Linked DNA regions of Nothobranchius furzeri. The protein of the gene in region 3 binds, or shares a complex with, the protein of the main gene of each other region. Links are inferred from orthologs where the notes say so. Each region holds a gene or a part of one and is shown on either strand. Other genes may lie near its edges. The genes, in order: gtf2b, taf7 and gtf2h3.

Region 1 (10,285 bases), on a different chromosome or scaffold from region 3:
CATCGCAGATGTAGCTAAATCACTCAAGAAAAGATTCCCATCTGAACGTCTGAGCTGGACACTGCTCAGCGCATATGTGCACAGCGAGCTGAAGATGTGGAGATTGGCTTGGAGCGCGTTGCAGAACCAGAGCGCATGCGGGAAGGTTCCTCCCACTGAAGCGAGGGTTTTCTAAACCCTGACTCTCAGAGAGACTTGTCACTTAGAAAATGTTCCCTGATGATGAAACTTTGGCTGAATAGTGCTTGTTCCTGTCTCCAATGTGGCGACACATCCAGGAGCCGTCTGAGGAGAATCCCAGAATCTCACATCTTCAGCTCAGAAGCGCCTATGATTACACACAAGCGTGACCCGTCAACCCGGTCTCACAGTAAGACCGGGTTGGACCTGTTCAGGTTTACGCAGACAATCTTTACATTTAGAATTGGCTTACAGATGTAAAATTAATGCAGTAAAATATAAAGTATTTTATTTAAATATCCAGTCATTATCTTACAAGCACAGAGAGCCGCATCAGATGGATGGAAGAGCCGCGGGTTGCCGACCCCTGGTATAGCCTATAAAATGACATGTTGAGGACGCAAACTCAATACATCTCTTTTATTGTGAAGTAATAATTTCTCCGAGTTTTGCGGTTGCGGGCGGGAGTAGACATGCACGCTGCGGGTGCGGGCGGTAATGGTCAGAAATTCAGCAGGAGCGGGCAGGAGCGGGATGAAGGAAACAGTCCCGCGCAGGGCTCTACTGCTGCGTTTCAGTCAGGGGTCTGACAGTGAGCTGCGCTGAGCAGTGTCCAGCTCAGATGTTCAGATGGGAATCTTTTCTTGAGTGGTTTAGTGTTTCAATTTTTTTATGAATTTGATTAAAAATAAAGGCACCCGGCCCGGCCCGTGTCCGAGGTAATTACACAGTCATTGGCCCGAGGGCCTAGGGCTTCAATGCAGGGCTACTCTGCCCCTGAGCCTGAGATCAGTGGACTTTCTTCTTCTTCTTCTTCTGGATTGAGGAAGGTGAGAAAAACACTGCTTATTTCTGTAACCTAGTGTAGCGAGCGTGTACTTTTATCGGTTCCGTTAGAACCTTAGAATACGCTGCTTTTTCAGGGAGGTTGAGGCCGCAGGTGAGTTTTATTGTGCAGACCCTGGTTTGGACTCCTTAATTAGAACTCGTTTTCTATTTTAAGGTGGAATGGAGATTGCTGTACTTGTTCTTCTGTGACAGCACACTTCCCTTTTAAATCTCCCGTTATTTAATTGTTTTAAATACTAGGGCGGAAGTTCACTGGAGGCCATCCAGCTGACTATTATTTGGGTCCTATCAGGATTAATTTGCGCCTCTGTCAGCATATGTGGGCGATGGTAATTAGAAAATGATTCCTGTTAGTTGATCAGGCTAACATGGATTTATCAATTAATCTAATTAATCCACCCTTTGAAATGGTTCCTTCCCACGCTAAACAGAGACTTTTTCACACGTGCAGAACAGAGCCTGTTTGAACCAACTAACCATTTTGATTTATAATCCTCAGGGTGTCCTGCTACGTTAGGGAGGAGAGGAGACTAGCTCCCATTACCTCAGGTATCTTTTCTTAACCTGTCACAACCTGAAAACAAGTCCTGAAGCACAGGAACAAGCAGTTTAAGGTGGCTTACCTCTCCTTTAGATCTGGTCGGGGCTCCCAACTCAAAGGCTAAAGAGACCTTTAAGAATCGAGAATGAGGACTCTTTTTCCAAAAAGTTAATTTCAAAATTAAAAAATACAAACAAGAGTAAATCTGAGATTTAAAAATCCCCTTAGGAGGATGCTGCTTCTAAAAATCTTCCTGAGAATAACTGCTCTCTCTTCCTGCACCTGTTGGTGATACCTCGTCGACTTGTGTCAACTCTAACTGTCACACACTAACTCTCACACGCTCTCACTCCTCTCGTCAACGACCTCTACTCTCTTACTCCCTATGCTCTGTCTGTCTCTAACTGCTCTTTTTATATCATTCTAAAAAACTGCCAAGCCAAACATTTTCCATAGTGAAGCAATATCTCAACCAGTCAAGAGACAGCCTAAACAATGTAATCATTTGTCAGTTACATACATCTTTTTATCACAAGACAGCAAAACAATGTGATTATTTGTCAGTTACATATCTCAGTCAAACACAAGACAGCCAAACCCATGTGATCGTTATATTTGTAAGCTGGTTTCAGGTCCACTCAAAGTCAAACTCCCCCACGGAGGACTTTCACATTCTGAGACGTCTCTTCAGTTGGCCTTCTTCTGTCCCGCATCCTGTACTACTTCCTGTTCAGTTGGACCACTCCTCCTTATCACCCTAACCCTCCAACACCGTTATATATATATATATATATATGTATATATATGTATATATATATATATATATATATATATATATATATATACATATATGTATATATGTATATATATATATATATATATGTATATATATATATATATATATATATATATATATATATACATACATATATACATATATGTATATATATATATATATATATATATATATATATATATATATATATATATATATATATATATATACATATATGTATATATGTATATATATATATATATATGTGTATATATATATATATATATATATATATATATATCTGTCTCATGCAGGTGTCAGAACACCTGCATGAGACAGGTGTTAATTACAATCTGCCAGAATGACTCACCACCTTCAGATTTCTCCAACACCGTTAAAAATGATCAAATACGGAACATATCGGCGTGCGCAGGCCAGAGCGCTGAAGCTCGGCGCATTGTTATTATGAAGCTAGGGCACATGTGGAGGACACGCGCGCGCAAAAATATACTTGTTTTCAATTACATTTATTGGGCCCACTTACTTTTTCTTAGGCCCACCCACAAATGAGTTTCTGGCTACGCTAATGGTGACATATGACAGACTTCTCTGAGCTCCACAGCCATTACACTTTTCACCTAGCGCACCCCCTAGCGGCAGCTCGCGCACCTCCTAGCGGCAGCTCGCGCACCCCCTAGCGGCAGCTCGCGCACCTCCTAGCGGCAGCTCGCGCACGCACCACACTTTGGGAATCCGTATTCCAATCCTTCCTATCTTATCTATTAAAGGTCTTCTGTTAACTGACAGAAAATGCAACGATCTTACAATAAGATCACCCTTAAATGAATCTCTTTTTCCTGGAAAAACAAACAAAAATAACATAATTTACACATCTGATAAAACGTCTGTTGAGAAAATAAGAACTATCTACCTAAAATTACCTATACCACCGAAAGCTAAAGAAACCCACTTTAAAATAATGAATGCAATCTATCCTTCAAAAGAGTTGTTAAGAGCTCGTTTTAATATTGATAGCAACAACTGCTCTTTTTGCAAAAACCACATAGAAACTATAGATCATATATTTTATGAATGTCAGAAATCACAATTGTTCTGGAAAAAGCTAGAGGTGTGGATCAAACCACTCCCAGTTCACATCACTAAAGATATGATAATATTTGGAATTATATTCAATAATAAAGATAAAGAACTGCTATAATATCATCCTCTGTTTAGCCAAATTTTTATCCATAAACAACGAATTTTACAATCATCCACTGTCTTCAATGTTCTTAATAGAATTTCAATTATATTTAAAATCCCTGAAACATCTCAACAAATATAACGAAAATCTATATAACATGTTAGCTGAACTTCCAAAGTGATTTCCTAATTCTGTATGATAAATGCTGTACTCTACTTGTTCTTCATGTTCTTTTGTCTCTTGTTGTTGTCTTTTTACTGGATATTTACAAATGTTATTTTAACTGCTCCTTTTGAATTTAAGTTTTGGACTTAACATTGTCAAAGTGCCATGTTTGTTTTTAAATTTACTAAATAAATAAATAAAAATTATTCTTCTTCTTCTATCATGTGGGGACCCTTGAAGGGTCAGATTCCTGATTACGAGTTACTAGTTTACATTCTCCTAACAAACGGAAGGAGTTCATCCCCCTGGTATCTACAGCCTTGCCACAATTTTATTTTGAAGCCCGAAAACCCAACAGGTTCCACGTCCCAAACAAAAGAATTTGATTTAGTTTTGACTCTTGTGCTTTCCGTAGTTTTAGTGACACGTGACCCGAGTATTTATATAGAGGTGACTGGATCATTTGTTTCTCTGACTGAAGAGAAAGGAAGAACATGGCGTCGACGAGCCGGTGCGTAACCAGTTGGACCAACTCTGCAAAACATGTTTGTTCTCTAGTTGAAGTTCCGAGAACGTGAGAAGTTGAAGAATGTGTACAAGAGTGTTTTTAACAGACGACGCTGGTCTGCTGTTGTGGATGTAACGCGTTTAGGGTTAGTTGTGGTCTGGTGGCAGTTAGCTTGCTGGAGAACGTCAGATGCTACCAGAAATCTCTGCTTGTGTCGCCGCTGCGCCTCGCAGCTCCGTGCGGATCCCTTTAGTTTCGTTTCTGTTTGAAGCTCCTCTGCGTCGGTTCGCGTGCGGAGAAGGCTCGTGCCATGGTGAATAAGTAACCAGCGTAGCTCCGAGTCAGTCTGGACGTTTGTAAACAAATCTTAGCCACGTTGGATGTTTACAGCGATTATCATCGTTACCATCGGCTCCCTCGGCTCTCAAAGTTTAAAGTTAAAGTTCCACTAGTTGACATTTGTTCTCCGCATTTCACCCATCCCTGGGGGAACTGTGGGCTGCAGACACAGCCGCGCTTGGGAACCATTTGGTGGTTTGACCCCCCCCCCAATCTATCTGAGTATCAAGCAGGGAGGCAGTGGGTCTCAAGTCTTTGCTGTGACCCGACCGAGATGTGAACCCAGTCCCAGGGCGGGCACTGCTACTAGGTCCCTGAGCACCGCGGTGAAGTTAGCCTGAAGTTGGATGTTCGACAGACATCGGTTTACACGGTCAGAGATGAGTCTTCATGCCGTGCACGGCGGCACAGACAGCGGTAACCTGGGTTCCGCGGACTCGCTAATGGGAACGGTGGTTCCCTTAGGGACTATCAACAAATTTGTAGTCCTTTGTAAACGAGTACAAACAATTAAAAGCTTCCAGAATAATTTGCTAAATGACTCAAAATAACTTCTGACTTGTGTTACTAAACTACATTTACAAGACACAACAGTGTTAACACATTTCACACAATCAGATCTTTTTTATTAGGATTTTATTCCAAAATTAAGGGACTTTTTTTTTCAACAGTTCCTAGGTAAATCAGTCTAAATCCACAAAACCATTTCTCGATTGTGTTACTAAGCCAGACCAATGAGACGCAGCAGTTTATAACAACTTTCATACCATCTGATCTGCTGAGGGTGAGACAGGGAGCACCAGACCTGCTGAGGGTGAGACAGGGAGCACCAGACCTGCTGAGGGTGAGACTGGGAGAGCCAGACTTGCTGAGGGTGAGACAGGGAGAGCCAGACCTGCTGAGGGTGAGACAGGCAGCACCAGACCTGCTGAGGGTGAGATGGGGAGAGCCAGACCTGCTGAGGGTGAGACAGGCAGCACCAGACCTGCTGAGGGTGAGACGGGGAGAGCCAGACCTGCTGAGGGTGAGACAGGAAGAGCCAGACCTGCTGAGGGTGAGACAGGGAGAGCCAGACCTGCTGAGGGTGAGACAGGCAGCACCAGACCTGCTGAGGGTGAGACGGGGAGAGCTAGACCTGCTGAGGGTGAGACAGGCAGCACCAGACCTGCTGAGGGTGAGACAGGCAGCACCAGACCTGCTGAGGGTGAGACAGTGAAGAGTGAGATGATTTTAGTGGCTGATGAGAGGAAGATCTGAATGTAATATTAAGTGAACACAGTTACATTTATGTAATCCCATTACAAGTAGAGCTGGGCAGCACGGCCATGCTGTTCATGCTTCCTTAGACATACTAGAAAAGTAAGTGTTGAACTCTGCATTCTGGTGCATCTAGACAGCAGTTTTGTCCGTCTGAATAATAACGTAGTTCCAGCTGTTGTTGTGAGTGAATGATGTATTTTTTCATTCAGTCACAAACAAACAGATAGTTCTGATTGTTGGTCAGCATTGTTGGCTGATGTAGTTTAAAATATTCTGATGAGAGTCGGATCAGTTCAGACTGAATATTCACAGCTTTAGTCTTGTATTAAATCTGTTTACACATCTCTACCCATAGGAATAAGATCATATATCCTACGTTCATGTTATTAACAGCTTTTTTATCATTAACACGTCCACGCTGGCCAGTAATCAAACCTGGATCCGGCTAATGGGGAGCCTAAGTCTCCGCCCCTTCTGGTTGGCTCATTAGTCCCCGATCAATAAACAGAATGTTAGTGAACTTGCTATAAAGTTATTTTCTAGTCTTTCTGGGGTTTGCCTTACGCCCCAAGTCTCGTCTGTCAGGCTTTTCATATCCTAGAGTTCCACCGTCTGTTTTCTATCAGAAGCGAATGCAGGAGATGGGTGTAGGAGACTATTTTCATGTTCAGCCTGCATGAAACACTCAGAGTGACCCGTTAGAATCAGAAATAATCATTGAATGTATTTTTTTCAGTGAGGTTGACCTACATATTTACCTAAAACAGATTTATCAGATTTCCAACCCCCCCCCCCCCCCCGGTCCATCCCATTAAACTCCTTCCTACTCCTTTGGTTCCCGCTCATTTTTGGCCTTGCGTCGTTCCCGGGTACAAGGGGATCTGCTTGGAATAGTGACGCCCAAAACCTTCTGTTGCTGGGAAAGGTTAAAGGTTATCTCCAAACTATTTACTAGCTCATTCCACAGAGATTAAGATGAGTTATAAATGCAGAACCTTAATCTGTGGTTCATCCTGAGCTCAGAAGTACAAACAACCCAAGAGCTCCATCTCAGACCCTACAAGCCTCATTTAGCAGGTCAAAGGTTTATGTTCACCTTGTTGATTTGTAATTTATGTAATTAACACACATAAATATATCCCTATTGGCTTTCACAGCGGTGAAGGTCTGACCCTGCCCAGGGTTACGTGCCCCAACCACCCTGATGCCATACTGGTGGAGGACTACAGAGCAGGAGACATGATCTGTCCTGAATGTGGCCTTGTTGTTGGTGAGTGTTTACATCTTCAAAGACTATTATTATTATTATTATTATAATATCTGAGATGTTTCAGTGAAAACCGTCTCCTTGTGGTTTCCTGTCAGCTGCAGATGAGTCAAACTCCTGAGTAAACACCAGTTAGTTTGAAATGTTTGAGCTCGTTTCTGGGTTTACACGACTAAAGGGCAGTTTTACACATACTAGGTAATCTCCACCGACCTACTGGGATGAGACCAGTCCCTCACGGTGGGTTTATACGCTGTGTCAGACGTTTGTGAGGGTTGTGTTCTCTGCTCTTGTTGCTGTTATTTGAACCGTTGGGCTGCTTTTGGAGCTGAATGTCTCGTTGAGACGAGTTGGTGAATAAAACACAAACAAAAGAAAACGTCGTCTAAAAGCAACAGCAGATTTGCACAGCTGTCAGTAGAGATGCTCCCATCCGAGTTCCTGTAAATCATGATCAGACCAGATTTTTGATCGTGTGGTTTTCAGGAAATCAGAATCAGTTGGGAAAGTCGGATTTAACCATATAAAACGACAAACATTACTTTAGATGATGTTTTTAAACCGGAGAACAAGGGCTTAGTTTTAAATTTAAATCTGCATTCTTTGTTTCAGAGACAACAACACCACAAGTCCCACATTTTAAGGTGGTCTGTGAATTGACGCACCATACCATATAGCATTTAGCTAACATAGGTCACACTTGTCACCTCTGGGGGAAGGACATGTTTGTAATTTGGATGTGTTTTTGGATGAACAGCAAAGGGAGTGAAATAAACGTGTAATGAGTGCAAACTTGGCATTTAACGAGGTGGAAAAGGTGGTGCTGCGTTCAACACTGATGCCCCACCTTAACAAAAACACTGACCCTGCTCAGTTCGCTGCAGCAAGTCAGCTAAGCCAGCCAAGAACCAATAAATGGTCTACAGACAGCAAAAATGCCAAGTTTGTAGCATATTTATCACACTGGATGAGCTTCTGTGGTTGCAAATGTCCGGTTCTGTCTCCTTGAATCGCAGTATGATCTGCTTTCTGTTCTAGTCTAGTGCTGTGCAATCCCTGTCGCTGAAAACAGCCGCACACGGAGTAAGCCATTTAAAAATATGAGCAACAAGGAAACTTTTACATTTATTCCTAGTAGGGTAGGGCGATATGGCCTAAAATCATTATCACGATATGTTGAGGACATCACCTCCATAACTAGCCTAGTGAACTAGACCAAATTCTTGCTTTGCAAAGTTTGGTCTAGGAATGCTCCACTGGAACCTCCGCAGCTCCTACCAGGACTCTGGCTAGCCAATCACAGCTCTCTAGAGGGGTTTCAAACACATAAAGAGCTGTGATTGGTCCATAATGGTGGGGCCAATCATAGTGCTCTATCTGCTTAGTGAACAAATCACAGAGCTTTATCCGCTTTGTGGGCCAATCAGGGCACTCTATATGCCTGGTGGGTGGGATGATGCAACAGAGTGAAACAAGAGTATGTCACATTCATTGTCCAGTGGAATGCGGAGATCATTTGAAAGACAACGGTAGAACCCGCCCCACAACCGAGAGCCGTCAATGGATCGTGGCCAGACTACATAATACATTTGTTTAGTCTGGCCTGCCAGGCTAGTCCATAACGATAACCGGACGATAGCTACAGGTATGTGCAGAAACAACAGCTGTCCACTAGATGGGGCTGTCACCTGTGTGAAGTCACATTTTTACATGACTCAAGGTGGTACAGCTTCTTAAAGCGACATGAACGTTGCCAACCTACACACATCTTTTCAGTTTTTTACTATCTAATTTATTGAGATTTGAAAAATTTTCACGATAAGAATCAGAAATTTTGATAACGATAAATTTTCGAATGATTGCCCTAATTCCTAATATTAACACGTTTCTTATTATTGTACAGCGCTCTACATAAATGAGTACATCCCCTTTAAAAAGTAACAAAAGAACCGTTTCCAGACTTTAACAAGGCCGGTTTTATTGAACACGTGTTAACTCCATAACATGAAATTAAGGTTAATAATATAACTTGGATCACAAATTCTTCAGTTTTACTAAAAGTGTTGGAAGCAAAGATGAATCCACCCCACAACAAAAACCACATCATCTGGTACTTTGTATGACCACCGTGATTTTCAGGGACAGCACCAAGTCTTCTAGGCACTGAATGAACAAGTTGGCGACATATTGCAACTTCTATCTTTTCCATTCTTCAAGAAGAACCTCTTAGAGCCTGGATGCTGGATGGAGAGTGATGTTCAACCTGCTGCTTCAGAATTCCCCACAGGTGTTGGACTGGGTTCAGATCAGGAGACAGACTTGGCCGTTCATCACCTTCACCCTGCTCTCCTTCAGAGATGCAGCAGCAGCTTTAGATGTGTGTTCTGGGTAATTGTCGTGTTGGAAAAGTGCACGACGACCACGTTCACGGGGTGATGGCAGCATCTTCTCCTTCAGTATAGACCAGGACATTGTTGAGTTCATGATACCATCAATGAGATGCAGCTCCCCAACACCATTAGCACTCATGCAGCCCCACATGAGGACACCACCACCACCATGCTTCACTGTAGGCACCATACATTTCTCTTTGTGATTCTCACCTTCACAACGCCACACAGTTTTGAAACCATTAGTTCCAAAAACAGTGATCCTTGTCTCATCACACCAGAGTCTAGAGTCCCAGTGGTCTTCGTCTCTTCCAGCATGGGCCCTGGCTAATCCTAGGTGTGCTTTTTTGTGAAAATGTCAAAGAAGTGTCTTCCTACAATCAATTTGCAAGACTTCCTTTTTAGTTTGCATCTGCCAGAGGAGGAGCTGAAAAGCAGATTGTACAGTTTCAACCCAGCAGGACCACATTCTCTGTGGACAGTGTAAACGTTTGGTTACAGGAAGCAGGCAGTCCTGATACTGAACCAAACAGTGCATCTGATGATAAAGTTGTTGAAGACAGTGTCTCTAATATTTCAAGTGTCAAGTCACATTCAAAGGCATCTTCACGGCAATCTCGGACTTCATCAACATCTTCCACACGCATTAATGCTGCCGCTGAACAGGCAGAGCTCATGGAGCGGGTCGCTGCATTAAGGAAAAACATCTTATTGAGGCTCAAGAGGAAAAACTAAGTAGAAAAGAGGAGAAACTGGACGTAGAAACTGAGTTGGCAGCAACAAGTGGAAAGCTTCATGTTTTGAAGA
Region 2 (9,670 bases), on a different chromosome or scaffold from region 3:
TGGTTCTAGTGGGAAAGGTTGGCTCAAAGAGCAAAGAAGATGCTCCCTATGAGCTGGAAAGCCAGTTTGTCCTGAGACTTCCTTCGGTATGACCACTCGGTGAAATCCACTTTGACTTGGAGTTTAAAATGATGTGTTCATTTACTTTATTCTGTTTATTTTGCAGGAGTATGCTTCAACAGTAAGAAGAATTGCACAATCTGGGAGTATGAACATAAAAGACAGACTTACCATCGAGTTGCACCGTAAGATCAGTAGTCATAAAACTGGCCTGTGTGTGAGAAGTGTGTTTGTAGATTTTTATATGTGGTTTGGTAATTCTTTAGTAATCTTGTCTTTTCTGGTCTTTAGTACAGCCCATCAGTGACACCAGCTGTCGATACTTCAGCAACTTACAACAAATCTCAATCATTTGCTTCTTTCATTTACAGCTGATGGTCGCCACGGAATAGTGAGAGTGGACCGTGTTCCTTTGGCCTGCAAACTGGTGGACTTACCTTGTATGATTGAGTCTCTGAAAACTGTAGATAAGAAAACGTTTTACAAGACTGCTGATGTCTGCCAGGTAAACCACCACTCTATGATTTAATGTTTGCACTTATTAGAAATAAAATGGAAAATGCATGCTCAAACCTATATGCACTGTAAAAAAACAACTAAAATAAATCAGAACTATTTTGAGTAGGGGGAAGGTAGAAGCATAAGATTATGGATTTCCAAACCCCTCCTACAATTTTAGAAACACAAAATTTTAACTCCACAAACACACGGGCAAAAACAAAACAAACAACAACGACAATTGACCAGTCTATTATTTTTATTTTTATTTAGATGCTGGTGTGTACACTAGATGGAGACCTTTTTCCTCCGCTGGAGGAGCCAACTGGCACCGACCCCAAGAGCAAAAAGAAAGATAAAGACAAGGACAAGAAATTCATTTGGAATCATGGCAGTAAGCTGATGAATATCTCTGCATAACTGAATTTTTAATAATTTGTTCTAAAGAAAAAGTCACATGTCAGCAGTTGTGGATGCAGACTTTGCCTCCTCAGCTGATTGAATCATTTTCACTTTGCTAACTCTTTTGTTTTGGTCGTCAGTAACCTGCCCACTGAAGAACACGCGCAAGCGACGATTTCGGAAAACAGCCAAAAAGAAGGTAGACATTTTTAAAATCCCACCCTCTTCCCCATTGCCCTGCTGTTTCTTTGGCATATTGTTTGATGATTCATATATTTCTTAAGCTCTGCTCCAAATGTACTTTTCATAAAACAGCCTCTGTGGTGAAAGTGAAAACCAAGATTAACATATAAAGTGTTCCATCTTTCCTCCAAAGGCATGCAAAAAGGCAATTTCACTACTGCTTTGATCAGAGTGAAAGTGAACAAGCTTGAGTGTGACACTTTTACTTTGTCTTTTGAATAGATCTTCCTGAAGGTGCTGAGCAATATTGATTTGGCTCTTCATGTTTTTAATCACAAAAGTACTTCCTGGCTTGGATCCAACAGTTTTTTGTGAGGGTGTGTGTGTGTGTGTTTGCATGTGTGTTTGTGTGGTTAAGAAGTAACCTGAACTCTGTTTGTTTTGCAGTACATTGAATCTCCTGATGTGGAAAAGGAAGTGAAGAGATTACTGAGTACAGATGCTGATGCTGTCAGCGTTCGTATCCTTTTCGACTCCCACAGTACAAAACATCATGAAAATCTCCCTAACCTGTTACCGTCCAGCAAACTAAAAGGGTTGTTTGGAAACAATACAGCTGTAAAGACAAAAAGAGACCATGGAGATGTTTATACAAAAGTTTTAGAAATTAGGTTTATGGGGCGAATATGTTTATATTGCCAAAAGGAAATTGAAATAAAAGCAAAAAACAGCTTTGATGAAATGGGGCGAAATTGTAGCCTGACCAGCTAGCTGGGAACTCTCCTATTCAAATGACCCCCCCCCCCGGAGAATTCGAACCAAGCAAATCAGTGCTGAGCAGCGTACGAAACACACCGTAACGATGAGTTTCTCATAAACAACGAAGACGGCTTCTGAAGCGGAGTTCGCTGTAGAAGAGCTAAAAGACTTTCTTCTAAAGAAAGATCTTTGCGCTGTCGCCAGAAGCCATTTTTGACTACAGCTAAAAAAAAAAACTTCAGCGTCGCGCGTTACAGTCATCATTTCCGCCTTTTTTTCTGATTGGTTATTTTTGAGTTGGCTAGTCCTGCCTCTCATGTGCCTCTCTGCCTGTGAGTAACCAGACCTGTTTACTGTGTAGAACAGAGGACGAGTCTGGCAGGGCAGGCTAACAAAATTTAGTTAGTTAAGAACTTAACTGAACAAATAGCAAGTATAAAATGTAAGAACTAACGATGTATACAGAAAAAGTCCACATTTATGTAAACAGCTTCAGTAACTGCATAAAAAATCACATTAGAATTGTTGAGAGGTTCTTGGGACAGTTTGATGCTGATTTCATGTAGTTTCACATGTTTTGCAAAACAGGAAATATGGTGTTTCATTAACAAGTTAGTTATAAAGAAAAAAATATTTAATAACAAATCTGCTAAACTCTTTCCAAAACCTATGTCTGGAAGAACAGTATCGAAAAAGATGTGCAATGTATTTTGTCCGAGAGGCATTGCTGTAGTGCGATGTCATCGGCAGGCCCCTGAGCACATCGGGCACCCTGAGTAGATCTGGTACCTACACCGTCTCTGATCTGCTTTCACATGTACATTAGTGATGTTGTAATGCCTGCGGGGAAATGGTGTGTTCTGAGAAAAGCTGGTTAACATGTCATAAGCAGGACACACCCCTTAAATTTACATGTTCCATCCCACTTCAGCATCACTAATATATAAACGTTGGTCACGGTAATGCTAACCGCAGAACAACACTAGCCCAAGCTATTGCTAAGGACCTTATTGGACAATAGGAAAACAACAAAGAAGAATGTCAGAGCTTGCATTGATCTCGGATGAATTTGGAATATTCAGACATTGAATAAATACCAGAGCTTGGTCCACACCTCAACCCCCCCCCCCCCCAATGTCCTGAGAGGATGAGCAGAAAACAGTGCTCAGCAGTATTATGTATGACAGTAGTCTCTGTCGAGGCTGTGGTGAAAACCTGACAATCTCAAACTTAACTGTGATGTACACAGAATTTAATATCTCACATTTAATCCAAGACCCAGCAGACTCCGTCCCACCCAGCTCTCTTTATCTGGCTCCGTGTGATGCTTTTGTGAGGCAGACACTGTGTGAAAAGAAGCTATTAGAGCTCTAATGAAACCCTGAACATTTCTGACAGAATAAGAGCACAGCGGAGCGGCTTTGTCTGGCTGCTTGCTGTGTGTTATTGAGACGGTCGGTTCATTATTGTTTGGTCACAGAGAAACTAGATTCTGTTTATGTTTTTGTTGCTAAATGTTGTCCCTCAGGTGTGATTCATAGAAGAGCTTATTTAGGTTCATCTCACAGGATTTGAGGTATTTTAGTGTTGGATTTTTTTAAAGATTGGCCCTAACTCAAGATGTTCAGGATGGGAAATTATAGCAGAGGATGAGTCCAAAGAAGCAGACCAGCATGGGTCTCTGGCTAATCTGGACTCTTCACCTGGTACTTCAGGACATAAGGGTCACGGGTCCTCAGGTAAATGTAAATACACGTTCTGTTTGATGAACAGCTGGTATGGACTTTGTTGACAAATCTGGGGTACAGATTAAGACTCTGATTGTGACTGCTTTCTATAAAACCATACATAAATCCTGAAAGGACGAAAAGCCTGAATTTCTGCTTTAGTCCCTCAGGAAAAGCTAGCATAGATCAGATCTTTATACATTCGTATGCATGTATTGTTTGCTTATAGACGCATTCAGTCATATGTTGCTTCTAGGGATGTAAGAAAATATTGATATAGCAATATATCGTGATCTTTTTTCCTGCGATATATCGATATTCAAAAGCTGTGTATCTAATTTTTGGAAGAATTTACATGCAAACGTGTGTATTAACTTTTCTTTTGGTGCAAATCAAATGCCGACCACTAGTTGGCAGCAGTGTACAATGGGTTCTGTTTCCACCATTGAATTGTAAATCCCTCTATCATGGGTCAGATACCTCATGTTAAACATGATAAGTATCAGTTTTGACTGTTTATTGAATTTTCCTACAATAAATTCAGCCTAAAAAAATCGCTGATATCGTCTGACTGAATGTATCGCAATATATCGGGATATATCGTATCGCCTCCCCGTATCGTGATTCTTATCGTATCACCATCATTTCACCAATACACTTCCTTAGTTGCTTCCATATACTTTACCAGTGCTGCTTACAGTTTGTAGCCTTTTCAATTTAGACTGTCCACTTAAGAAACTTTTGACAAATTTTAAATGTTACAAGTTTTTTTTAATGGCCTTTAAAATGAAAAACACCTTATTTTGTGATTTTATTTGTGCTGAGATATTTTTTTTTATTAAAAAGGAAATTAATAAAACATGATGATCTTCATGTCAGTTTTTACAAAACGCCCAAACAGTCAAGGTTTGGGTTTAGAGATCAGAGAAGATTATTCTGGATGTTTGGACTCCAGGATGTTTTCCGTCAATGACCAACAGACCAAAAATGTTATCTTTTTATAAACTTTGGTGTCTCCAAGGGAATTCAAAGCCATCTTAGTTTTCAGAGTTTCAGCGTGTCTTGTCTGTGTGTTGTTGTTAATAACACCGTTGTGCTCTGCACGGCCAGTCCCGCGCGACGAGCTGAGGGAGATCTTCAACGACATCAGCAGCTCAAGTGAGGAAGAGGAGGACGAAGGGGACCGGCATGAAGACGAGGACCTGAATATCATGGACACAGAGGATGATCTAGTGCGACAGCTCCAGGAAAAGCTCAACGAGTCGGATTCTGCTCAGCATGAAAGCGACAGAAACAACCAGATAGGTGAGAATTAGAAGTTTGGTCGTTGTTCATCACAAGGTCAGCAGTGTGGGGGAGAATAATCTCACACTTTAAAGCTGTTTAACCTTTTTCTAAAATGCAATGTGGGCCTCGTTTATAAAACTTTGCATAGAATCCTTACCAAAACCCTACTTAAGCTCAGTAAAGAATAAATTACTCACGCAAACTAGTTTACTACGACCTATAATACTCTGCTCACTCACAGCTGCACGCAGTTTCTGCTTTCTGTATCATGGCCAGGTTTCCTGTGTCCAAAGCGTACTCACGCCAGGTCCAGTGTTTGCTTGAATTTGCGCACAATTATTCTGTCAAGTTTTTCTGAATAAGTCACGTTTGCATGGAAAGTCACTTATGCAGTTTTCAAACCTTGTTTTCTGTGCAAGCAAGCTTTATAAATGAGGCCCCTGGTCTGTAAATTATCATTTTCATTTACCTGTTTAAACATTTTCAGGTTGCAGGTTCCAGGAAACGTCTGCACGTAAAGTGCAGACTCAAATTTGAATCTCTTTACTTCCAAATAACCTACATACCTAGCTGAATGAAGCAAGTGCTGTGTTGGATTATGCAATCTTTCATGCTGTGCTTGCAACTCACACCTCAGGGTAAATGTTCAATCTCTTAGCCAACTTGGTTGTTAATTTTTTTGTCAGAGTGGTCACAGCAACAAGGTTGGACTTTGGAAGAAAGTCAGACATTAAATTAAATCAGATCACCCCTAGGTACTTGTCGAAGCAGATGTAAAAAATAAACGGAACCAAGTGTTTGAACTTTTAATAAGAAGTGAGCTTTCTAGGTCAGACATCACACACAGTCAAAGAAATAGCCTGGCTTCCCCGTAAACGCGCATGCTGCTGCACCCTGCAGACGAACACACTGACAGCTCTCAGCTCTCCTCCTTAACCAACCAGGCTGACAGGTGTTGCAGCGCGGCATGCAGCTCAGACAGCTGTCCGGTCTGACAGCGCCGGGCCTCCTTATCTGCATACGTGAAGCTGTCAGTCAGCAACTCCACTGGTCAGCTGCAGACCAGCATCCAGGCAGAGCGTTTTCCAATATGTTGCAGAATGGTTTGCCATGATTCCAGCTGCTGTGCAGGCTTGTAATAAATGGTGCAGCAAGGGCCCCTTGCTGCTTAATTTAGCACAATACAGCAACTGCATTGGAAAATTGAGCACCAGTGGAAATAAGCAGTGAATGGATGCAATTAGTTAGAAAAATATGGAGCCAGTGCAGCTACAGGTTAGTGGGAATCAGTTGAATTGAATTAATTGTAACTCTCTTTGTTGAACCTACAGCAAACTGATTTAATTGTCTCATAATGCGTCACTGCTGCTGGTGCATCATCCGTTAAACAGACCAATCGTTCCCTAGAAGGTTTAATTTACTTAATCTGCAGTCATGCATGCATTGTTCTCCAGAGTTGTTTAGTTGCATCAAGCGATGCCAGACCATTGTTTTTTTCTGAGTTGTTTTAGGACCTTTTTTAACACGTTGGCCTCCTGCTGTTTTCTGCAGTTATGGAGTACCAGGTGCAGATTAACAACATAAAGGCCAAGCTTCAGGAAACTCTTGCCCGCAAGAAACAACAGGAAGAGCTCATCATGAAGGTGGAAAACCAGGCCCTGAAAGTAAGTGGCCAATGCTTTCTTTTTGCTCCTGAATTGCATGAAATCACTAAAACACACACACAGGGTCCGAAATTAACACTCGCCACTCGCCAAATGCGAGCAAATTGCTCCATTTGGCGAGTAAATTTTTGAGCTCTATCTGCCACCTGGCGAGTAAATGTTTGCACCAAATTAGTTATGTTTATCAGTCATCTTCCATGGATTTCTGTGATACTCCTCCCGCCTGCATGCAACGTACACAAACGTGCGCGAAACGTGAGCGCCGCATCCAATGTCATTTCCACCTATCCCATTCAATCAGTTTATCAAGTTAGCAGTTAGCTTCGTGTTAAAACTAGCGGTGAAATGTGGCGGTTTTTAACTGGAGTCAGCCAGCCTTCCAAAAGAAAACTCGTCGAACTGGAAGAAAAACCACCAGGACCAGTGGCAACCAGATTTTGTGAAAAGTGGCGAACTGGAGATGGCGGAGTCGTGAGACAATGGCTACATTATGATGGCCACGTAGCGTTGCTGCCTTTCACAGACACTTTTTTTCTGCACGTGCTGCAAACAGGATAGCCGTCTTCTATCAACTGTCCCTCGGCATTCTTCAAATATCCAAAAAATGCCCGTACTTCCCACTTTGTCTTCTTTGAGGGATAATAAATGTCCCAAGTGCTGCCGTCTCCTCCTGCCATTATTTCAGCTTTGGCTTCAAGAAAGTTTTGGTCGTAAACAACAAAGCGCGCATGTGCCGCCGGTAACTTCCAGCAGATGATACGGTGGCTGGTAAGGGTCACCGCGCCTACACCGCAGCCACGGTAATCCACCGAGATAATATATATATTTTTTAAAACAAGACGGTTATTATTATTGTCTACTTTTTTACCGGGGTTTACTGCTACACTGGTTACCGTGACAACCCTAGCCCTGACACTTTCAGATATTCTCATGGTGCAGCTGTGTTCTCCAGAGATCAAGGACCTCTTGGCCCTCATGGAGGGGGCTGTCTAGCACACTGCTGCTATCCACTTAAACATTCTCCTTCTCCTGATAATAACTTTTTGCTTTCCTTGACGTTGGACGTGTTACTGCTAGTTTACCCATTTAATTAGAGATCCACTAGGATAAATACAATAAAGTTGATCTCACCAAACATAATATTTACTAAGACATCACAATAGAACTATAGACACATTATTGTGTGTGTGTGTGTGTGTGTGTGTGTGTGTGTGTGTGTGTGTGTGTGTGTGTGTGTGTGTGTGTGTGTGTGTGTGTGTGTGTGTGTGTGTGCGCGCGCGCGCGCCTGCTCTGTCTTCTCGATCCCCAGTGAGTCGTGGAGGATGGCTGCTTATACTGAGCCAGGATTCTCTGGAGATTTCTTCCTGTTAAAAGGGAGTTTTCCTCTCTACTGTCGCTGCATGCTTGCTTAGTATGAGGATTGCTGTAAAGTCACTGACACTAGTCAGTGACTTGATGCAATTTGCTGGGTTCCTTATATAGGAAACTATTTCTGATTGGCTTAATGAACTGTGAATTGGAATGTTTATTATGTGAAGTGCCTTGAGACGACTCTTGTCGTGATTTGGCGCTATATAAATAAACTTGAATTGAATTGAATTGAAGTGACTATGACCCAAATGAGGCTGTAATGCTTTGGCACAAAGACGGTGTCAGAAGCAGGAGGCCAGACTTCATGGACAGAGAAAACAAGGAGTCTGACTAGATTTCAATGAAAGAGTTCATAAAAACATCTCTAAAAATAAATAAATAGTAAAAATGACAAAAGAGTTGTTTTTCTTATTAATTGATGTTTTAATTATTTTGTCACTCCGTCTGGAATCAACATAATATAGAATAACATGCTTTAGGTGGATCTAAATCATTTAGAATTTTGGCCGGTAAAAAATATGCTTGGCTGGTAGATTTTCATCATCTACCGGCCAACTTGGCCGGTGAGTAAAAAATTTAATTTCGGACCCTGCACACACACATAAAAATATTGCAAATTAGCTAATGAGCTGGAATGCAAAAATCTTGATGCAATATACATTCTGCATTAAAAATAACTGATTGCACATATTTTTTCATATATTTGATTCATTTAAATATCATATCTTCTCCCTAGCTAATTCCAGTTTAAATCTCAATGTGCAGGAAAAACTCTGAACAAGATCTGCATCTTCAGCCAGCTGCACTTTGGTGAAGACTTTACACTGAGGCGAACATGAGCAGACGTGACCCTTTTTATATGTTGCCATTTAGAGCTCTCAATTCATAGTGCTTTGGGACCATTAAAGCCTGATCACTAGTTGTTATTATCACAGTGGCATGGAAAAGGTCAGCTGTCTCTTACTGGCATTCTAAGTGGCCCTTCTGTCGGAGAGGAAGCAGCGACACGAGCAGGCCTCTGCAGACGCACATTTAAAGGCATCACAGTTTAAAGAGGCTCGGCGTGTCCACTCGTACAAACCTTTTTTTGTCTCTTGCTGGTTGCAGAACCGTTTCCAGGCCTTGCTGGATGAGATTATTCAGCAGGAGGAGCGGGAGATGGAGCAGGTATGTAACTGCCAATAATCTGTGCCATTGTGATATTTTTGTATTTATTTTTTTACTTCTTGCAGCTTTGTGAGGTTGTCAGTTTGAGCTTGTTGATTTCATTGAGGTTTCTGGTTTTTAAAAACATTTAGTATTCTTAATTCCACTTATGAGAATGCTTTTTTGCTGTTTTGTGGGTTTTGCTTAGACACTGTTGGGTGAGTGTGTTTAAGAAGAAGGCAGACATTTCATTATGAATTGTTAAAGATTTTTTACATGTACAATAACCTTGAGTTGTGGACCTCAGTCACATTTTCTGTCTTGTGTTTTCACAGCTGGCTTCCCTGCAGGAGCAGCTGGACTCGCTGATTGAGAAGTGACCAGCAGGGGGCAGTCTCAAGCCATCTTTAGCCAGGCTACTTCCAAGGATGAGGAAGAGGAGGAGATTAGGCTGAAGGCTGTACTTCATTAGGAGACTTGCCATGTCTTTTTTGTTATTTTGCCATTTTTAATACGTGACATCTGCAGCTTTCATGTTTCTGTGTTAATATTTGACATTTTCTGTTAAGTAAA
Region 3 (10,234 bases):
TCATATTCAACTCTGTGGAAACAGAAACAACTTCCGCTTCGTGTTTCAGCGAGGACTAAATTTGATGTAACACACTATTATTCTTCTTCGTGGGTATCCAGTAGCGTAGCTGTTATTTTTTATTTACGTCTACAGGGTTTCCTGAAATTTGAAAGTGATGTTTATGTTTCGTCATTTGAAATTTGTCCAAGTTATTTAGCAAGTCTGCTTGATAAAGATAAAACACCAGCGGAGTTTAGTGTCTGATAAGCCGGACGTTACCCAGAAGTCCTGCTGCCACATAGGGGCAAGTAAAAGGTAGATTTATAATATATAAATATATATAAAGTTAATATTTGTTGTTTATTTTTGTGTTTTCAAGCTCTTGTACACGTTTTATCGAGGAAATCTGACAAACTACATGACATGACATAAAATCTAAATATGTCAGTTTAGTTATTAGTTAAAAACAGCTTAACTTGTTAGATTTCACTCACTGTAGAAATAACCTACGATACAATTAGTTCATAATCTTGCAATGATGTCCAGTGTGTCTTAACTTTTTTAAGAAGCAGAATAAATTCAACAATAACCTGAAACTGAGACTAGAAAGCCTCAATGAAACTGATGTTTTAAAAAAAATTCATATTAGTTGAGTTCACTAATTTTCCAAGCATTTGTCACAATCTTTCCACTGATTTTCCATTTCAGACTGATTTGTCACATTTTATTTTACCTTTAGAAGAAGAAAAAACGATCCTTTATATAGCACTTCTCAAGATAAAAATCACTAGGTGCTTCACAAGAATATAAAATGAAAAATAAAATATATAAATATGTAAAACAAGGAAAAGAAAAAAATTGATTACAAATGTAAGAAAAAGAGAAAATGAAAATGAATATGAAAGGTAATCAGTGGATCTCAGGAAGGCAGAATTGGTAGAAAGCTGAATGAGGAGAAGGTACTGAGGAAGAAACAGCAGAAGGTCATATGGCAACCTTCTAATTTAACAAAATACTTCTTTTAAACTTTGTTTAAGTTAAATTTTTTCTTGATGTTTTTTTATTTAGGATTTTAAAAAAGCCAAGGATCTTGCAGACAAGGAGCAGGAGTGGAAAAACACCTTACAAAGGAATGAATATTTCAGTTATTCCCTTCTAAAACTACATTTAATAAGTGTTCGACATGTTATCAGAAGAGGAGGCATCCCAGTCATCCACTTCCTCTTTGTCTCTTGTGTCTTCACCCTCCTCTCCTGCTTTGCACTTTATTGGAAAGAAGGAGGACATTGTCAGGGCTGGACGTGTGACCAAATTGGTGAATGGATGCAGAGATGTTCTGGTCTTGTATCACCAGGGGCAGCTTTATGCAATGGACAGGCGTTGCTACCGTAAGCTTCGAGCATTTGTGTTTGTTGACAAAGTGGATAACATTATGGCTGTGATTGTTTTATTTATTTGCAATGGCTATTTCTGTGCATAATGCCTTCTTTTTTTTACACTGATAGATTCAGGTGGTGAATTACAGAATGGAGACATAGAGGTGGGTCTTCTGATGCTTTCTGTGAATAATAGAATTCAACAGATATATATGGAATTCATAAATAAATATCTGTGTTACCTATTTATATAAACTGTATTTATTTACAGACTGTCTTATCATTTTCATTAGGAGTTTAATGGACGCCTGTGCATTGTGTGTCCTTGGCACAAATACAAGATCACGCTAGCAGAAGGAGAAGGACTTTATCAAGCTGTAGAGAATCCTACAGTCAAACCGATAAGGACTTACTGGTGCTCCAAAGGTGTCAAGCAGAGGGTTCATAAAGTCACTGAAGTTGGTGGGAACATATTCGTAACACTGAATGACTCCAGCAAGCCCATCGAGTCAGATGTTTACCAAGTGGAGAAATACAGGACTGTCTCACTTAATGTCCAAACTCCAAACCCAAGGAATTAAGATGTTGATGAATACAGTGACTACTGAATAATAAAGCAAAAATACCTTAGTAAAAACTTTGTTTTAAAAAATAAACAATATTTTCATCTATAAGAATGAAGAACACAAAAGGTCTTTCTGTGAGACAGAAAGAAAGTAGTTAAAAAACATTAATGATAATTTATTTAAGATGTTATGCCCTGAATGACTTTGCAAGGTTGTTAGCTAATCATTTTCAGACATTTCCATGAATGCTTAATGAAAAATATCCCAGCAGATGGATGAAAACAAAACTTTATGTGAACAGGGTGCAGCCACCATTGCTAGAGGTATTGTACGAAACCCCATTTGAGCTAACTGTATCAGAAATGTAGGGGATTTCTTTTGTGCTTTTTACATGATATACAATGGAACTTATTTGAGTCAGGAACAGCAGCAGCTCAGGAGGTAGAGTGGATTGTCCAGCAATCGGAAGGTTGTAGGTTCGATCCCAGCTCCCACTGGAGAATGTTGCTGTTGTGTCCTTGGGCAAGACGCCTAACCCGACTTACCTGCTGGTATCGGTCAGAGGGACCAGTGACACCAGTGCATGACAGGCCTCACCTCTGTCAGTGCGCCCCAGGGCAGCTGTGGCTACACTGTAGCTCATCCCCACCAGCATGTGAATGACTGCTTGTGTTGTGAAGTGCCTTGAGAGGTTATATTCCTTTTTTTATTCATTTATTTTTCATGTTTGTATGTATTGTTATCTTTTGTCATTTTATCTGACTGTAAAGAAGTTGACTTTAACAGAAAAAAGATGCCAGAAAGCAAGACGGAAAAAAAGACCCCTATGGCGCTATATAGTACAGGCCATTTATGAAATTGATCGTTTTAATAAAATGTTATACCTATGCAAATTGATTTTATAATATGTCCAAATAAAGTCTGTTTTTTTTTCTTTTGTATTAGCTTTAGTAGTTTTACAAAAATGTTTAGTTTTTGTAGTTTTTTTAAATGCAGATGCATACTTGCTGTTAAACAGAAGCATTTTGTTAGAATATACATTTAATTAATTAACGAATGAGAAACAGCTGCTTCAGTTAGGGTCAAGAACTTTTTTTACGAACATGAACAGGTGTGTGAAGTACAGTTTCAGAGAAACATGCCTATCCACTTTGTTAGATCTCAACAAATACATTTGTTATTTATTGTGTACATATTTTAGTAGTTGTGTTTTCTACTTTCCACCAACGCCACAAAAAATATTTTGTGGCGTTGGTGTGATGTCACAAAAAAGTCACAGTCCAGGTTTTTTTTCTTAGATGTTTATATTGTTTATTTTTTCACCTACCGGTGACTCCGCCATATTGATTAACGTGAACAGTGACCGGTGTACTGCTTTGTTTATTTATTTATTTTTTAATTATTATTCCTGAACAAAGACATAACAGAACAAGGTACGACATTAAGGTACAAACTCTCATGGAGGATGTAAGCTTAAAAACAGGCTAGGGGCTTATCAAAGAAAAGGAAAATGTTTATGTTTATTCATTTAGCAGACGCTTTTATCCAAAGCGACTATTACAATTTATAACCTATATGGCATGTTGTGATCTGTGGGGGAAACCGGAGGAAACCCACGCATGCATGGGGAGAACACGCAACTCCACGCAGAAAGACCACAGCCGAGTTTCGAACCTGCAACCTTCGTGCTGCAAAATAACATAAAAAACAAAGGAGCATGATTTACAAAGGAAACTCAAAACAGTTCTCAGTTATTTGCCGTGAGATAATTCTCGCATTTTTTCCATTTTACTTAATGAAGAGTAGAATAATTTAAATTCGTTCAAGAAGCATGGAAATGAGGGCTTGGTACCCCTCCGCTTATTGCAATGGATGTGATATTTGGCAAACAAAACAACAGTCCAGGTGGCAGCACTGCGCTGGTTTGTAGCAGTGAAAAAGAAACTCGTCGCACAGTGATGACGCACATCTAGCGGCGACAAAAAGCTTTTTTCCCTAAACACTTTTTGTTCGGTCTTCTACCATGGACGGAAGTTATCAACAGAAAAATCTGTTAGAAAAACTTTAGTTTCTTTTGTTTCGATTAAATACTTTCGAGATGGCATCAGGTTTGTTTTGCTTATTGTCTCACTACGTTCTTTTGATGCAATATATTACTGTTGTTTCAAGTCTGCAGAATGGTGTTTTATACATTCATTTCTTCAGAGGGAGAAATCAGTCTCCTGGTGGTTGTGGTGGACGTGAATCCGATCTGGTGGGGCCAGCATGCTCAGAGCGAGCCGGAGGTGACAGACTATTTATTTATTTATATGCAGTGTCACTAAAATCACATTTTGACAATATGTAGTAAGGATATATAATCTTTTTAAGTCAGACAAACGGATTATGGTTTATTAATATTAAATCAGGATATTTTATAATTGTGACAAGATCTAATACATGGGATAAGTTCTTCTCTCCTATTTGAGTCACCAAATATTATTTGAATGAATCTTTTCTATAATTTACATCAGTTACTACTTTAGAAATGTGTTGGATTACAAAAATACTTTGATTACCAACATCTCATATTACACATTCCATCCATCCATTCATTCTCTTCCGCTTATTCGGAGTCGGGTCGTGGGGGCAGCAGCCCAAGCAGAGAGGCCCAGACTTCCACTTCCCAGCCACTTGGCCCAGCTCCTCTGGGGAATCCTAAGGCATTCCCTGGCCAGCCGAGAGACATATTCCCTCCAGCATGTTCTGGGTCTGGACGTACCCAGAAACTAGAGGTGCTGAAAAAACCCGATTCAAGTCTGAATCGGGATTCTTATTTATAAAGATTCAGAATCGATTCCAAGAACTCAAATATTTGGCATGTTACAGGTTTGAGATGCAATTTTTTGATCTTTGATAGGAGAGTCAGTACTCCGTTTACTTTTGTGGTCCCATAAATTGAGATGATTTATGTTTGAATCTGCTGATAAGAGGGCACTTGAATGTAATTTTTTCCATACTCAGAAATTTGAGATATTCTCTTATTTATTTTCTAAGTTGATAAATGAGTACTCAGGATTACTCATGTAACTTTTTCTACACATACTTGAAAAGTATTTGACCATATTACTTTCAAAGCTACTGTTAGGTAACTACAGATTTGTTATATTTTACAAGGTAAGCAAAAATAAATGTTGCCTTTTGGTCAAAAGATTGTTTCTGTTTACAGTTTTAGAATCACTTTATTTTACATTGTAAATTTGCGTTTTTGGAGCATGACCAGTTTAAAGTCAAATAAAAATGTCCCATAGCTTTAACTAACTTGTACAACAAAGTAGTTCATCCTGGCGCTGACATGCTTTGTTAATACTGATTGTGAATCGATTTAATTTGAGAATCCAGAATCGAATCGGCACCCCAAGAATCAGAATTGAATCAAATAGTGAGTTGCTCTAAGATTCACATCCCTGCCAGAAACCCTCACCAGGAGGCATCCTAACCAGATGCCTGAGCCACCTAAACTGGCTCCTCTCGATGGGGAGGAGCAGCGGATCTACTTCGAGCCCCTCCTGGATGATTGAGCTTCTCACCCTATCTCAAAGGGAGAGCCCAGACACCCAGCAGAGAAAACTCATTTTGGCCGCTTGTATCCATGATCTCGTTCTTTCGGTCACTACCTAAAGCTTGTGACCAGAGGTGAGGGTAGGGACGTAGATCGACTGTAAATCGAGAGCTTTGCCTTCCGGCTCAGCTCTCTCTTCACCACGACAGATCGGCACAATGCCCACATCACTGCAGATGCAGCACCAATCCGCCTGTCAGTGTCCTGATCCATCTTTCTCTCACTCATAAACAAGAACCTGAGATACTTAAACTCCTCCACTTGGGGCAGGACCTCATCCCTGACCCAGAGAAGGCATTCTATCCTTTCCTGACTCAAGACCATGGTCTCGGATTTAGAGGAGTGATGAAAAAATATATATATATATTTATGTTTGTTTTTTCTTTTTCTTTTTTAAAGTTCACTTTGTCCAAGTGTCTGGATGCAGTCATGGTGATGGGAAACGCACACATGGCTATGACCAGGACTAACCAGCTGGCTGTCATCGCTGCTCACTGCCAGGACAGGTAACTTTATACTTCATGGAATAACTTTTCCTATAGTTTCCAGATTTGAGCAAAACTTGACTGTTTTACATTTGCTTGATAGATCCCAATTAACCTACAAGTTCATGTAGGTTAACAAAAGGTCAACATTGAAATGTCCATAAATGCATCCAGAGGTTAAATTCCATTTGCATTTCTTCCTCTCAGTCACTTCCTGTATCCAAGTAAACGTTTGAAAGGGAACGATGATACGTCTTCCAGCAGGGATGGAAAATATGAGCTCCTATCTGTCACCAACAACCTCATCGCTGAAGAGATCAGGGATATCATGTCCAAGAGTAGGTGCAAGTCTGTGTGACGTAGGGAAGAATTTGGAGTAAATAGATGACTAAATACTTTTTTTTGCAGCGGAATTGACGGGAAATTCGACTGATACTCTTCTGGCTGGATCCCTTGCCAAAGCTCTGTGCTGTATCCTTTTAAAAACCGTCGTCTTCCTCCGCTTATCTGGGTCCGGGTCGCGGGGGCAGCATCCCAACTAGGGAGCTCCAAACTGTCCTCTCCCCGGCCTTCTCCACCAGCTCCTCCGGCAGGTCTGCCACCCGATCCACACTGCACCGGATCCTTCATGTTGCTCCTGCGGGTGGTGGGTCTACAGTTGGATGAGCCCATGTATCCGGTTCGGGCTGGGCCCGGCCGGGCCCCATGGGCGGAAGCCCGGCCACCAGGCGCTCGCTCACGGGCCCCAACCCCAGGCCTGGCTCCAGGGTGGGACCCCGGTAACCCTCAGGGCCGGGTGACTCTTTGATTGTACATCCATGAAAGATCCTCTGAACCGTTCTTTGTCTCACCCTTCACCTAAGACCAATTTGTCATGGGAGACCCTACCAGGGGCACAAAGTGCCCCAGACAGCATAGCTCCTAGGATCATAGGGCACTCAAACTCTTCCAAGGTGACGGTTCAAGGAGGAGCTTTTAAAAATCATCTTATATAATTAGTTTATTTCTCATTCAACCAGGACTTTGTTGGTCAAGGCTGATTTATTTCTTTTTGCAGAGCTCGGTGTGATTGAATTGTTCTGTAACATTTCCTTCCATCTAGAACTATCCAGATATCAACAGGATTTCAAAAGAGGTGGGAGGTAATAACATATGTCCCTTATCAAATTAAAACAGTTTGTTTTGTTATTTTAGCACTCTGCATAAGTTATTTTTTGTTCTTTTTTAGTTGCACAGGAGATTAAATCAAGAATATTGGTGAGCTTTTGCTTTCTCTCTTGACTTTTCCTGCTGAGCTGGAGCTCATCTTCTGTTTTAATTGTGATACAGGTGATAAAAGCAGCTGACGACTGCGCCCTGCAGTACATGAACTTCATGAATGTGATCTTTGCTGCACAAAAGCAGGTGGAGTTGTGTATCTCACTCTGCTAATCTAACACCTGTCTTTAACACTTACTTGGTTTGTTTCAATACTTGTGTCCAGAATATCCTGATAGATGCGTGTGTGTTGGATTCAGACTCGGGGCTCCTTCAGCAGGTACTTCATTACATCCTTTTTCCATTTGTTTTTCATTTCATTTAGAGCTGCATGGTGGAGCAGCAGGAAGGTTGCAGGATCAAATCCTGGCTGCAGCCTTCATGCATGGAGTTGGCATGTAAACATGCATGTTAGCTTAGTGGTGACTAATTTCCGTCTGGGATTAATAAAGTATCTTTGAATTTGACTAAGTTGTCTCTAGGTAAAATGCTTAAGAAAATGACTGAATGAGTAAATGTTTGTGGTGTGTTTTTAGGCTTGTGATATAACTGGAGGTCTGTACCTGAAAATACCACAAAAAGTAGCGCTGGCTCAGTATCTTCTGGTGAGGAAAGAAGTTTGCTGAGCATATTTCTAAGAGCGTGGTTGTTGTTTTACTTTGAGGTAATGATCTTTATGTTTTGTGAAAAGTGGGTGTTCCTGCCCGACTCGGAGCAGCGCTCGCTGCTGGTGCTGCCGCCACCTGCTCACGTGGACTACAGAGCCGCCTGTTTCTGCCACCGTACCCTCATAGAAATAGGTTACGTGTGCTCGGTTTGCTTGTCAAGTGAGTCTAAAAGAACAAATGTGTCAAAGCAATATTGGAGACGTTGTTTTAACGTTTTCTTTGGGGGGTTTTTTGTGGGTGAATTTCCTTCTGTTTCCAGTTTTCTGCAACTTCAGCCCTATTTGCACAACATGCGAGTAAGTCTGTTATTATTCTAAGTTGTTGCATCCGTAAGGATTTTTTAAATGTATATCAAGTGTTTTTCCTCATTTTTTGGCACAGATATGATTTAGAATCTTTGTTTTTTAGGACCGCCTTTAAAATCCAACTACCACAGATGGTTAAACCCAAAAAGAAGAAACCAAAGCTGCCAGCGTGATGCTTTCTTTTTCAGCTTCAAGGCAACAGGAGTGACTGATTCACATAAACAGTATCAGTATTTTTGCTCCAGAGGAGCAATGATTTTTTTGAAGAAAATACAATGTGCATTAAACTTACATTTTAAGCTCAGTCTTAGTATTTGTTCACAAGTCTGGATTATTTTGTTTTCATTAAAACTGTTTTGAAACTATTTTTGTGATTTTAAATAATAAAACTCAACAGTAAATTATTTTCCCCAAACTGCCGGGAGATCAAGATGTTTTTTTCACGACTTTAACCAAGTGAGGTCGTTGGATGTTGTTCTTTGTTATTTCTTTAGAACGAAGCACAATGTGTTGCTTTTTGAGATCTTATAGCCTCCATGCCATCAGCCTGGTATAATTGAGGTGTGGGGAGTCAGTCTCAGCTTTTTTAACAATATAGTTGATTTAACAAGGTGGACAGTTACTGTTTCACACGGGTCCAGGATGGTCAGGATAACTTTTTTCCACTAATCAGTTAAATCATTTTGAAAACTACATTACTTTGTATTTAATCAAGTTATCTGCTGACCTGAAACATTTGTCAAAAATGTAAAACTTGGTATTGGGGGGGGGGGGGGGGGGAATACTTTCTCACATCTCGAGCTGTTTATTAGTCCAACACATAGGATAGATAAATATGGACTTCATGTTAGGTCACTCAGCATCCTCCCAGCTTGGTCTTAGGAGTGTGTCTACATCATGCCTTTATCGGAGCTGAATGCTAGCCATAACAGATGAACTGTTAATTAAAGGTCACATTCTGTGTGTTAATCATCCACAGAAGTAAATAGAAGTGCTGCAACACTTTGTTTATATAATCTATACCACTCTCATTCTTTGGACAGTTCTTAAGAGTTTCCACTCATACTAAAAAAACATGTCAGTGTATAGCCACTCAGATTTTTTTTTATTCAGGATGAAATTCAAAGAATTGAAAGATTTCAATCCAGCAAAGGATGATGTGGATTATCTCTGGACTGGAACGATGTTACACCTGTGAAGGAAAAAAAGACAAGATTTCCATATAAATGATGATGAAACCACTAATTATTGTGCGTACAAAAGAGAATTCTATCATTAAACACAGAAGAAAAATGAAAAGTACCATGAGTGTTTGGGGTTTTTATTGTATTATCTGCCTCATATGCTGTGTCTCTGAAGCACTCACCCCAGCAGGCCCCTGCCTGACCACCGCTGTGGAGTCAGGCTCATCTGAGCTTTTTGGCCAGACCTGATCACAGAGACCCGAAGAGGTTTCTGAAAAAGAAACACATAATAATACGCATCAGGAGAGACGGATAGTCACTGTAAAGGTAAATATGAATTATATCCACCGGAGGAATATCAGTAGAAGTAACAAAAACTTACTCCTTCGCTGTGCTGCACCACAGCAGCAATGTTTTGGAGGTTCTGAAAATTCTCCGTGTTCACAGAACCAAACTCGATGATTTCATCCCCCAGCCTGAGGCCCTTTGAAAGAAAACAATTGCTATCAAAGGAACAGAAACATTTATCAAATTCAAACTGTTAAGAAAATATGCCTTAATAAATATTTAAAAAAACAAACTGTACAGCTCCAGAGGCAGGCGAGCCTTCGGTCACAGAATCCACTCGTGCAAACGGAGGAGGGAGAGTGACCTGCTGCTCCATGGCTTCCTCCTCAACCTCATCTTGACCACGCTTAGCTTTCTCTCGAGCATGTAGCTTGTGCAGGGCTTCCTCTATCTCTGCCATGATGGCTTTGTGGTCATTCTGCAGACCTGAAAACATCAACTATTTACAAACAGAAAATAATA

Evidence for each region.
Region 1: gtf2h3 (region 3) and gtf2b share a complex: the UniProt entries of both Homo sapiens proteins name them as parts of the TFIID-containing RNA polymerase II pre-initiation complex. The link is inferred for Nothobranchius furzeri from reciprocal best matches to the Homo sapiens genes GTF2H3 and GTF2B.
Region 2: gtf2h3 (region 3) and taf7 share a complex: the UniProt entries of both Homo sapiens proteins name them as parts of the TFIID-containing RNA polymerase II pre-initiation complex. The link is inferred for Nothobranchius furzeri from reciprocal best matches to the Homo sapiens genes GTF2H3 and TAF7.

What each region holds. Positions count from the first base shown.
Region 1 is NC_091751.1:71,414,423-71,424,707, reverse strand, and holds the start of gtf2b (transcription initiation factor IIB), read left to right. Parts: upstream 1-4,133; 5' UTR 4,134-4,208; coding exon 4,209-4,225; intron 4,226-6,978; coding exon 6,979-7,091; intron 7,092-10,285. UniProt on the Homo sapiens protein: General transcription factor that plays a role in transcription initiation by RNA polymerase II (Pol II). Involved in the pre-initiation complex (PIC) formation and Pol II recruitment at promoter DNA.
Region 2 is NC_091741.1:82,925,386-82,935,055, reverse strand, and holds part of taf7 (transcription initiation factor TFIID subunit 7), read left to right. Parts: intron 1-9; coding exon 10-86; intron 87-166; coding exon 167-245; intron 246-431; coding exon 432-565; intron 566-831; coding exon 832-952; intron 953-1,100; coding exon 1,101-1,159; intron 1,160-1,590; coding exon 1,591-1,663; intron 1,664-3,530; coding exon 3,531-3,641; intron 3,642-4,739; coding exon 4,740-4,934; intron 4,935-6,467; coding exon 6,468-6,580; intron 6,581-8,716; coding exon of another isoform or gene 8,717-8,728; exon of another isoform or gene 8,729-9,037; intron 9,038-9,058; coding exon 9,059-9,118; intron 9,119-9,432; coding exon 9,433-9,477; 3' UTR 9,478-9,670. UniProt on the Homo sapiens protein: The TFIID basal transcription factor complex plays a major role in the initiation of RNA polymerase II (Pol II)-dependent transcription.
Region 3 is NC_091757.1:46,811,204-46,821,437, reverse strand, and holds gtf2h3 (general transcription factor IIH subunit 3), read left to right. Parts: upstream 1-3,876; 5' UTR 3,877-4,022; coding exon 4,023-4,032; intron 4,033-4,129; coding exon 4,130-4,209; intron 4,210-5,924; coding exon 5,925-6,031; intron 6,032-6,217; coding exon 6,218-6,348; intron 6,349-6,418; coding exon 6,419-6,481; intron 6,482-7,122; coding exon 7,123-7,152; intron 7,153-7,238; coding exon 7,239-7,267; intron 7,268-7,339; coding exon 7,340-7,414; intron 7,415-7,493; coding exon 7,494-7,547; intron 7,548-7,803; coding exon 7,804-7,872; intron 7,873-7,958; coding exon 7,959-8,094; intron 8,095-8,194; coding exon 8,195-8,231; intron 8,232-8,343; coding exon 8,344-8,413; 3' UTR 8,414-8,544; downstream 8,545-10,234. Other genes in the region: Rieske domain-containing protein, read left to right, coding at 1,166-1,370, 1,488-1,522, 1,652-1,939; psmd9 (26S proteasome non-ATPase regulatory subunit 9), read right to left, coding at 9,405-9,432, 9,607-9,695, 9,807-9,908, 10,011-10,198. UniProt on the Homo sapiens protein: Component of the general transcription and DNA repair factor IIH (TFIIH) core complex, which is involved in general and transcription-coupled nucleotide excision repair (NER) of damaged DNA and, when complexed to CAK, in RNA transcription by RNA polymerase II.